Rhinolophus ferrumequinum: one gene and its partners. The protein of the gene in region 2 purifies or fractionates together with the protein of the main gene of each other region. This does not show direct contact. Links are inferred from orthologs where the notes say so. Each region holds a gene or a part of one and is shown on either strand. Other genes may lie near its edges. The genes, in order: KIAA1671, CAPZA2 and CRACD.

What was found.
Region 1: the proteins of CAPZA2 (region 2) and KIAA1671 purify together in Homo sapiens (affinity purification with mass spectrometry; 3 studies listed by BioGRID and IntAct, counting the BioPlex papers as one, with this or other methods). This does not show direct contact. The link is inferred for Rhinolophus ferrumequinum from reciprocal best matches to the Homo sapiens genes CAPZA2 and KIAA1671.
Region 3: the proteins of CAPZA2 (region 2) and CRACD purify together in Homo sapiens (affinity purification with mass spectrometry; 3 studies listed by BioGRID and IntAct, counting the BioPlex papers as one, with this or other methods). This does not show direct contact. The link is inferred for Rhinolophus ferrumequinum from reciprocal best matches to the Homo sapiens genes CAPZA2 and CRACD.

What each region holds. Positions count from the first base shown.
Region 1 is NC_046308.1:15,425,466-15,429,212, reverse strand, and holds the start of KIAA1671 (uncharacterized protein KIAA1671 homolog), read right to left. Parts: upstream 2,721-3,747; 5' UTR 2,662-2,720; intron 1-2,661.
Region 2 is NC_046309.1:26,073,841-26,077,587, forward strand, and holds the start of CAPZA2 (F-actin-capping protein subunit alpha-2), read right to left. Parts: upstream 2,402-3,747; 5' UTR 2,297-2,401; coding exon 2,258-2,296; intron 1-2,257. UniProt on the Homo sapiens protein: F-actin-capping proteins bind in a Ca(2+)-independent manner to the fast growing ends of actin filaments (barbed end) thereby blocking the exchange of subunits at these ends.
Region 3 is NC_046288.1:17,993,847-17,997,593, reverse strand, and holds the start of CRACD (capping protein-inhibiting regulator of actin dynamics), read right to left. Parts: upstream 2,299-3,747; 5' UTR 1,688-2,298; intron 1,207-1,687; exon of another isoform or gene 1,085-1,206; intron 342-1,084; exon of another isoform or gene 320-341; intron 1-319. UniProt on the Homo sapiens protein: Involved in epithelial cell integrity by acting on the maintenance of the actin cytoskeleton. Positively regulates the actin polymerization, by inhibiting the interaction of actin-capping proteins with actin.

The DNA of each region.
Region 1 (3,747 bases), on a different chromosome or scaffold from region 2:
CTATCCAAATCCAATTGACCACCACCTCTCACCTGGATTTCTCTAGCAGTCTCCTCACTGGCCTCACAGCCTCCTTGCGTACCCTCTCCAATCCAGCCTCCCCACAAGAGCAGTGCAAGCTTCCCAAAACACACATCTGACCCCATCCCCCTCCCGCAGAAAAACTTCCACAACACCCACCCCACCGCCCTGGAATAAAGTCTAAACCTCTGAGAATGGCTGACCTGGCCCCCGTCAACATTTGCCAACACCGCATGCTCCCTCGTACATCCAGGCCCTTCTGTTCCCTCTTTCCGGCCCAGAACACCAACCTCTTCCCACTGCAAACTCTCCAAGAAACTAAACCCCTTGACCCCCATCCCTCACCAGCCAGAAGACATCCGCCTCTCCTCCCATTATCATAGCTCTCTCCCCTTTTAGACAATTGCCTCTTTCCACTAACCCTTCCCTTAGTGTGTGATTGCTAGCTTCCTTCTTTGACAGTGTCTTGAAATACTTAAGAATGAATGAATGAATGAATGAATGAATGAATGAATGAATGAATTCATACTTAAAATATTCTTCTGGCTTTCTTTATGGTCGAGGTGTATTCTGGTGATGCTGAGCAGGGAGAAATTCTCAGGGCCAGACAGTGGGCTGCTCTATTCTCCTGCCAAGGTCAGTCCTGAATAAAAGCCAGCCCCCAGGATCTCAAAGGGAGTGAGGCCCCTCCAGCCTCAGAATCTGGGGTGAGGGCTGCACCCCCAACTTCAAGAACCAGCACAGTTGCCTCACTGGACTGTAGGGCAAGCTGATTCCTAAAGAGCTGGAATGTAATGCCAGGAGGACAGGTCCTATGCCGCCATGGGCCATACCATTTCTATAGTGTTTGCCACATAGTAGGTGCTCAACACACACACTGGGTGACTGAATGAGCTGGCTCCTGTGCCCAGCTGAAACATGTGCCCAGGTACTATACTGAAATCCTGCACTTCTCTGGGGTAACAGCACCCTTGTCCAGCACGCAAATCCTTTAAAAAGGATTCCCCCCAAAACCACCACCAAGACCAGGGCTAATGTCTGCACAGCTCCCTAGGGAATCCCAGGGCTGACACGCCAGTGTCTGGGGGTGAATGCACGTTTGTCCAGGGGCCTCCGTGGATTAACAAAAGAAAAGCTGGGCCAAGGAAGAAGCCTCATCCAAACGCCCTGGTTACTGATTAGCCAAACCCTAGAGCTTCTCTCTGCAAGGAGGATCAGAGGGGCAATTAACCTCTTTGTAAGAAAGACCAACTTAAACATCTCTCTAATCCTGCAGTTTAAAAAGTCAGCAAGTTGGGTTTCTAGAACTTTCCCTCGGATACCGTAGGGGAAGCTCAGGGGATGTGATGTGGGAAAGGAGGGGCCACAAACGGGGACCCACTAATATTTACAGAGCCCTTACCTGTTTCATACCTATCATACCTACTAATTTTGCCAGCCAAAGACGAGAGAAGGTTGTGATCCCCACCCTCACCCCATTTTGCCCAGAGAGGAGACCTGGGCTCACAGAGGTTAAGTGTTTTGTCCAAGGTTACAAATAAGCTGCAAAGAAAAAACTCTTTCTTTGTGCAACAGGTACAGCCTTTTCCCTTCCAAAAGGTAATGGCTGCTCCGGGCTAGCGAAAGTTCAGTCGTGCGGCAGGAAGCCGTGACAACCTGGGAGGCGCGCAGGGGTCATAAGCACCGCTACCGGACTCAAAGCAGGGTTTCAGGGCGCGGCGCCCCGACTCCGAGGCGAGTGTGTGCCAGGAGGGTGTGGACAGGTCAGCCTTGGGTGGGGGTCAATGGGCCGCTTTCCTTCCCAAGTGCCACGCCTGTAGCCCCTGGCGGCGCCACCAGCGGGGTGGGGACCAACCGAACCCGCCTGGGAGCAGGGGAGATTGAGCCCTAATTCTATCAGGGTGCCTCTGCCCTGGGAAGGCGTGCGGAGGGAAGTGCAGGCCGGGCGGGGAGGGCGCATCGGGATCCCCGGCGCCCGGGGGCCCGGCGCTCTGCTCTCTCTCCACCGCCCCCGCTGCCCGCAGGATCCCTTCACCCGGGCTCCGCCTCGCTCGGCACCCGCGCTTCCCAGTGTCCACCTCTGGGGCCTCCAACCCGCACGGACGTCGAGATCCTAGCAGCTCCAGGCTGGGTACCCCGGATCTCTAGCGATCCACCAGTTCCCAGCCACCAGATCAACTCTTGGAATCCACTCCCAAGGCTTGGACCAGCGTCGTGGAAGAGGAATCAACTAGCTCCCAGTCTCCAATCACCGTCCACCGTCACCCGGGGTTGGGGACCGAATGGGACCCCAGGCCGCTGGCGCCCGATCCCCTCCTGGGACCTACTCCCAAGTCTTCAGCCGAGAAGCGCGGGATCCATTGGCTGCCCTGTGCGGGATCTTCCTGCGGGATCCACTCCCAAGTCTCGGGATCTCCCGATTTCCAAATCAAGATTTCCCCTCCCCACAGACCCGGAGCCCGGGGAGATCCACTGGGTCCCAGCCTCTTCCCCCGCCAACTTTGCCAACTTTTCTCCTGGGGCCTCAGCCGAGCAGAAACTTGGCGGCCATCGTCGGTCGCTGCCTCCCCAGCCCCCTCGCGGGCCGGGGACAGGGACGGATGGCCGGCCCCCACCCCCCGCGGCCGCCGCGCAACCTACCCTGGAGCCGCCGCCGCCGCCGGCCCGCGCCGCGCCGCCACCTGCCCGCAGCCCGCGGCACCTGCCCTCGCCGCCGGCGGCCCCGTGCAGCCTACCCTGCTGGGGGCGGGGCCTCGGGCGGGGAAGCGCCCCTGTCGCCGTGGCAACCGCGGCCGGCGGCGCCTGCGCGGAGGGCCCCGGGGCGGAGCGCGGACGGTCGGACCGGCGCTTGCCCGCTGGCTCAGGGGCCAGGGACAGCGCGGCGAGTCAGAGGTTGCGAGGCCGCCCAGGACATTCCTCCCGGAAGCGCCCCCAACCCCAGAGCTCCGATCTCTCTGCGCCCGGTTCGAAAAGTTGTTCATGAGCCCGCCCGCGTTCCCGGGGCGACCCCCAGGCCCCGGCCGGGATTCCCCGCAACGGACAACTTCCCGCCGCCCGGTCTGCGCCCCCGAGAGCCTAATGCAGCCCGGGACCTCAAGAGACGCTTGGTCAAGTCTCGCCCATTGAACCGCTTAGGCTGCGGGTGCCCGCCCGGGAGCGAGCCGGGTCTGCGCGAAGCGCTGGCGCCTCCTCGCGGCGGGAGGGGGAAGTCTGCACCTGGCCGGATCATGTTCACCTCTCTGCGGAGCCTACTGTCCGGCACGCCTGCTGCCATTGTGTTGACGTGGGGGCTGCGGGATGAGGCCTTAAACTGAGAGAATCGTAGGGAGTCGCCCCTGAGCAAGAAAAATGCCTGTTTTGCTAGCTTTCACTTATTTCAGTCCATAGATCTTTATTAAGCATCTGCGGTATGCTACGCAGGTGCTGGGAACACAGTGGGGGAGCAGCTGGCAACATCCAGGCTCTTGTGGAGCTTAGACGTTGTAAACAATAATCGTGCGAATAAATGTAATTGCATTTGTGATACGTGCTCCTAAGGAAACGTAGGGAGCATAAATAACAAGGACCTAAAATCATATGTGCATTTATTGTAAGTCAGACCTCAATAAAGTTATACAGCGAGGGGGAAAAAAAAGAACATCCCACTGTATGGCATCAGGAGAATTGTCAAGGGGGCTCTCCTACTTTGTCTTTCTCTCCATTTGTGTGTGTCTGTAAAGGGCACTC
Region 2 (3,747 bases):
GGGTGAATCTGAAACCTTATTTTACTCATCTGTGAAATGGTAATATAACCTACCTCAAATTAACAAATTTATAAAAATGAACGTATTGTCTAACTGAGCCAGATACATGCAAAGTATGGTACTACATAAATATTAACAGATTCATTTCCTTACATCTGCAATCAATAATGGAAATTCCAAGAGCTTAAAAGTCTTAAAAGCGTATTTTTGAAAATTACAATGTGGCAGAAAGAGCAACACAATTTAAATATTAGCTTAAAAATATCACCTTTAAATCCTCTGATTCCATACCAAACATCTTCCTCCCAAAAGATTACAAGAATATTTCTAAAGTGACAATATTAGAATTTAACTCAAAAGTTTAGTCAGTATTTTTCTTAGATTAGTAAATATAGCTATGAAATCTATATGCAAAATATCTATAGAATAGTGTTACAAAACTCAAAACAAAAACAAAAACGAATTCCTTCAAATTAGAATTTTCATTCATTTCCTCTTAGAACATTGCGCTGGGCAAGCTTAGAGAATTAGACACCCCCCCCCCTGTATGGAGCTTAGCGCACAGAGAGTGTGGCACAGAGAGTGTGGGGTAATACGGAGTGTTGTCACCTCATCACTATTTTAGGCCTTCCCAACACCTGGCTGGTCTGTATTAGCTTCCACACTGGGTACTCTCTTCATCGCGATTTCTAGCGACTTGAGCTACATCCAACCACTTAAGAACGGTGGAATAAAAACATGACAATCTTTTTAACAAACTTTTCAGCACTACTTAATTTTAAATGTGTGTGTGTGTACAAGAGCATACATTTTCAGTTATCAACATATAGTGATTTACCAATGATACACATGTGAAAACTGCACAGCAACTTTGTGTATACAGGGACCTCTCTGCCTACCGGGTCCCTGGGTTATGGAGAATCTTGTTGCGGTCCTCATTTTGTTGTTTTATTATAACTTTCACCAAAAAGCACAGAGAAAAAAGATTTCCAACAGTAAAGATGAGGCTGACCTCAGCACCGACATAAGGAGATGGAACATTACATTTCCGTGTTAGAACACAGGATGTAAAAACACTTGGAGTGAAGAGTTCGAACTGAAAAGTATCCTTAGGCTTGGATTAGGATTTCTTAAAACACCACGTCTGTGTTTCCTACATGGCTGTACTGCTTTGGAACTTAAAAAAAACCACAATGTTAAATTAAGAGTGGACACTTCAAAAACTGCAACAACCATCTTATTTATGTCAGTTACTTCTGAATTTGAGAAACCTCAAGGTCCTTTCCAGGAAATACTCAAAATCAGTAGGGTCCCCACCCCACCTCACTGGGGAACGGGGCCTCACAGTCGCCAAAGGAAACGGCAAATAAGAGAGAACTAGTTCAATGATCAGATTTCTTATGTTAAATGCCTGAGAACTTAAGTCGTTCATCTGGTTCCAAGGCTGCCGCATCATTTAAGATACAGTAAAAGGAGTTGCACAATCTCCCCTCTTCGACAGAATTCCTAGCAGGACGCAGAGGCGCCACCAAACCAGCCCCCGAGGGCTGCTGCCAGCCTGGGCAGGAAACTACTGGGGAGGGGTCTTCTGGTGAGCAACTCCCCGGCCTCCTAGGGAATACGGAAGCTGCAAAGCCTACAGCTAAAGACGAAATAAGAAAAGGAAAAAAAATCAGAGAGAGGCAGACTGCCACCGGGAAAGGAAAAAAAGCGTCGCGAACCAGGAAGGGAAGCATTTTGCTACTGGGCGGAGGGATTAGAAGGGAGAACTCGAGGTCTGCTTCCTAAGCGATTTTTGCCTCTTACCCTTCACCCCGGCTACACTATTCAGCCAGGCCGTCAGGCTGGGCAGTGCCCTTGGGAAGCTCGCAGGCCGGCCCGCAGACCCCTTTACAGCCCCCAACCTGGCGCAGGGGCCGCTGCCCAGGCCCAGGGCGAGGGTCCCCGCGCCGCTGCCCCGCGCGACCCCGCCCGCCTGCCCGGCCGTCGCGCCAGGCGCCGCCGCCCGGCTCCCGCTTCCTATTTTCAGAGCACACACCCTACAAGGAGTGGAGCGAGCAGGCCAGGCGGAGACCTGCCCCCGCGCGGGCCTCGGGTGACTGACAGGGGCAGGCACTTGGGCGCAGCGAGGAGAGGGGGGCAAAGGCAGCCGAGGGCACAGACCAATGCCCTTCGCCGGCGGCCAGCCTCCGGGCTTATACACCAGGGCCCCGCTGGCTCCCGGGCCGACCGGCTCCGCCGCCCCCGCAGCTCTTACCTTCTCCTCATCAGACAACTGCTCCTCCAAATCCGCCATTTTCCTTCTGGCGACAAACCGCGGCGGCGGCGGCAGCCACCTGACTTCCCCCTTTCTGTGCGGTCCTCCGCGCCGCGCGCGCCCCAGCCAGGGAGGGGCCAGGAGCCCAGCCCACCGCGCACGCGCCCAGGGAGCCCCGCCTCCTTTCCCCGGCCCGCGGGGCCGGAGTGCGGGGCGCGTGCGCAGAGCCTCGAGGGGCTCGGGAGAGGGAGGAGTCGCCAACCGCCGCCTGCTGCAAGCTTGTCAGCGTGCTGGGTGTGGGATTCTTTCCCACCAGTGACCATATGGACCCAGTCTGCAACAAGTACATCCTGAGCCCTTGATTATGTTCCCATTAAGGCCTGAACTCTGCCAGCTAAAATGTGAAAAGTGTACGAATAGAAGCTTTTTAAACATTTTGTTTTTTAAAAAAAATTGCTAGAAAAACACTTAGCTTTCCTTAAAATATGCAGACAACCCAGTCCATAATTGAAAGATTGCTCTTGATATATTCATTCATTCATTCATTCAAGAAACATTTATTGGTCCTTTATGGTGTGTCGGGTACTGTATTAGTCTCTATGCATATACACTTGCACAATGTTAAGCAAAAACCAGAGAAACCTGTTTTCAAACCTACTCTGAACAGTTAGGGAAGGCACCGTACTATTGCAGAGGAATACAAAGTTATGTTTTAGACATGGATCCTACTCTTGAGAATCGGGTTGCCAGATAAAATACAGAAAACCCAGTAAAATTTGAATTTCAGATAAACAATGAATATATATTTTAAGTATAAATATGTCCCATGAAGCATTTGAGATATATTAAAAAAATGTTTTCAAATTTTATTGGGCATCAGTATTTTTCTTTGCTAAATCTGGCAACCCTACTTCTGAAGCTTAAAGTTTAGCAAGAAAGTGATGATGTAGTCAAAGCTTAACTGGCTAGGAATCTTGTTAAGATGCACTTGCTGAGGCAGCGGGTGGAAGGTGGGCTGGAGAATCTGCATTCCTAACAAGCTCCCAGGTAATGCCAATGCTGTTGGCCTGGACACCATCCTGAGCAGCAAGACCTTAGAGTTTAGACAGGAGTTAAGACTAGCCATTATGTTCTATACCTAAAACGAATGCAATGTTCTTTGTCGATAAAAATATGTATTAAAAAGACTTTATTCAGTAGAAAGTTGACAACTTTTGCACAGTGATATAACATCATCAGAAATATGTCTAGAAAGATGAATCTGACAGCTACATATAAATGACACAAGAGAATACCTTAGAGAGTTCACATGCAAAACGCTATTAATAAGTAATTTACTAAGGGTTCATAATGTGCAAATCATTGTTTCTTGTGGATGGAAAGTGAACAGAAACCATGCTGTTGAAAAGATAGTCCATTTAGGGAGAGAACTAATGGGAAGCTTGCTGAAACATGCAGAAAAAAGCGGGTGTTCTATTGAGGATAAATGG
Region 3 (3,747 bases), on a different chromosome or scaffold from region 2:
CCCCAACACACATACACACACACAGACACACACACACACACACACACACACACACACACACCCCTACACCAGATCAGTTTCCGGATTATTATTCATAAAACTCTATTAAAATTTCACAACACATGGTCGTAGTTACTAGGTTTTGTCCCTCCTCCCAACACCCACGGAATCAACGTGTCTTTAAATATACATATGCTCTTAAAATCCAGAATTCAGCAAATGATTCCGATGCGTCTATTCTGAGAACATTTAATATAAAATGTAAACGTCTGCCCTTCTGTTTACTGATAACCATGAATAAAAGCCATACCCCACCCACCGTATCCGTAGGATTAGGTGTAATCTCGCCACTACAGAGCTCTGCAAGAAAGGACGGTTATAGAACCAGGAAAACCATCGCCAGAAACCCTGGGAGAAGATAAGGAAAACACATTTTACACCATTGGAAGCGTGCAATCTCCCGGCTCCAGCCCTTGGTAAACAGAGAAAACCTTTGTCCTATCTTAGCCATCAAACCGGGGGCTCATCAGAATTGGGGCAACAAGAGTTGGTACGAAATGGCTTGGCAGAGGTTAAACAAAGCAATGCAGCGCATGCGGGGGTAGAGGGCTGCCCCTGGTCAGCGTCCGAGATCTGAGTCCAGAGATCCTAGCGTCCGAGATCCCAGACCCTGGTCAGCGTCCGAGATCCCAGAGTCTCGCTCTGCCCCCACCCGCAGCCGGGACCCCAGCCGGGGACCCCGGGACAGCATGCCGCGGCGCGGGAAGGAGAGAAGGAATAAGAAGGTCCCACGCTCTCGGCAAGTTCCCGAGGACTCAGCATGTCCGCAGGTTCCCTCGAGTGGGATCCCAAACGGCTCACACCGCGCGCGGGTTCCTCCGGGAGGGTCCGCGCGGCACACGCCGAGACACCGCCCCAAAGTCCACCGCGCGCCTCGCAGACCCCACGCTCCCATAGCAAGGGCAAAATCGGGGATCCCGGGGCGCCGGGGGGGGGCCCGACCCCGGGTTTCGTGAGTGGAGGGGAGAAGCCCGCCCGCTGCCCCCATTGTCTGGCTCCCGCCGCGGGCCGTCAGGGCGCTCACCTGAGGTCTCCGCCTGGCGCCGTGGCCCGCAGAGCAGCTGGCTGGTGATGGGTGGTCCTGCGCGGGCGGCACACGCGGCTGCCCAGCCCGCCGCTGCCCAGCCCGCCGCTGCCCCGCAGCACCAGCAGCCTCCGCAGCAGCACCAGCAGCGCACCCGCCTCTCAGGCGGCCGCGGCCTCCATTGCTCTCCCCGCCGCCGCCGCCGCGCGGCACTGCGCGCCGGGCCCCGCGCGGCGTGGTCACATGCTCCACCGGCGCCTCGGGCGCTCGGACCCGCGCCGCGGCCCCGCCCGGCTTCGTCCCTACTCCGCCGGGCGCCGCTGCGGGGCACCCGACGCCCCAAGTTCCCTCTTGCGCCCTCCGGCAGTGGCGCGCGCGAGACTGCTCCCCTCCCAGGAGGTGCCCAGACACCGGGAGCCGGCCGCAGGGAAGGGCGTGGGGTTGATCACTGCCCTCCCCACCACTGTAAGGGGATGGCCCGAGGTGTGGCTGAACGCGTGGGGTCGGAGGTTACTGCGATGGGTTCACAGGAGGCTCACGTGGAGCAAGAACCCGCGATCGCCAGTCACGACCCCACGCGATGCAAATCCGACCCTTGGTTACCTGGATGAGCCAGAGACTAACGGAAGCGACCCGGACTCCAGAGATTGTTTCGTCCTGCAGAGCCCCGACAGAGAAATGGCACTGGGACTCCTGAGAGTCGAACAAGTTTAAAGATGCCACACAGAAATAGAGAAGTTTGGAATCGCTTTGCTGAGCGCTGTACGTCACAACAGTGACATTGCCATTGGACATTATTGATCCTAGCCATAATGAAATTATATAGTGACTTTGATGTTTTAAGGAAAATATTTGTCTTTTCCTTTTGTGGCCTAACTGGAAACACTGAGACTTTTCCTTCGTACTTTTTGCTTTGACTATTTCAATGAAACTCTTGTAAATCAATTTTTGGTGATCTTTTTCTTTGTTATTCATGCAAAGATGCTGCATTTAGTATTGTTACTAATCAGGAAATTTAAAACAAAGCAAAAAAATCCTTAGTGACAAAAGATGCAAACAATGAAAGGTAACCCTAATAAGCTAGAAGTCTCAATGCGAAACACGGGACTAATAATTCAAATGCAGGTGCATGACTTAGAAGGAACAACTTTGATACTGGGAGAATCTAGTACATGTTACTTATCCAACTGGGTTTTTCCAGATAAACATTTTAATTAATACCAGGTTGTGTATTTTTGTAAATACAGATTTCATTCAATTGTTCATTGCTTACATATCCTAAAGTATGCCTACTTTATTCCAAATAAAGACTAGTGAAGAGTTTTATAAAGTGTTGAGCAAGTTCCTTTGGATTTACTACAGTAGCACTAGAAGTTCCCCAAAGTAAAAAATTAAATCTGTGTACAACATATACCTGAAGTCTTTTTGTTGATATATTATAGTTTTGCCAACGACATGAAAACATACTCTATAAAAAATTTGAGTTTACATAAATCAGGTATTGGTCTACTGCCTTTTAATTTTGCCAAGCAAGGTATATCCCAAATTACACACCCTTAAAATATTGAAAGAGTTCTAGAGAACTTATGCTTACATTAGAGCTCTCTAGCTGGACTTGGTGTCTTATGAGCCTCAGAAATCAGACCACACTTTAGACAGGGTGCTGTTTTTCCCTTGCTTTTCAAACATATGGGTTCATGGTTGCTATATACATGGCTGCAACAACAGTGTGGCACCTCACACCAGGTATCAGTCCACTATTCCACTTTTGAAATAGCTAACTGCCTATCAGTTAAGACAGATTTTCAGAGAGCATAATACAATACAAAAGAAAGATGGAGAACACTAGGAGTTTTTAAAATATTTAACCATTTAACTGCTTATTGGGGTTACAGAAAGGATGTGAGGAAGAAATTATATAGTTAAACCAGTAGTTCTCCATTGTGGGTAATTTTGTCCTCTAGAAGATGTTTGGCAGTGTCTGGAGTCAGTTTTGTTTGTCACAACTAGTTGGCAAGTGCGACTACTGGCATCTAGTGGGTAAAGGCCAGAGATGCTGCTAAAAAGTCTACAATGTGCAGGACTGTCCCACAACCAAGAATTATCTAGTTCAAAATGTCAATAGTGCCAAGGTTGCAAAACCCTGAGTTAGACCACAGACTTCCAAAGCCTCTTGATTCTGTACTCTGCCATGTCTGCTTAATAATTTCTGTATTCACATTGCATTTTCTTAGTGCTCAGGAAAGGAGTACAATAGTAAGATCTTTCATTGGGAGAAGAGACTAAGGAACTGAGTGGGACAAAAAGTGATTGTGCAGATAAAAGTCACACATAATAAAGAGAAAAAAGCAAAAGCTAAAGTAATAGAAATATTGTAGTATAGAAATATCTTCATTGCGGATTCCTCAGGACTCTGTTGTGTCTTCCCAACAGCCTTGACCTCCAAAGTGAGAAAACTGAAGTATACCATCGTTTTGAAAGTTTCCATTAGTCAGGCATAAGGTTAGTAAATCCCTCCTGGCCATTCCGGGGATGGACTGTTGTGAATATTCTGAGTTCAAGGTGAGTGAGGTGGGTTTTTTAAGTGGCTCAGAGGACAGCCAGCAGCTCCTGGGATGGAGTGAGAATCAGAACATCTATCCAAGTAATGGCTTTCTGTCCCT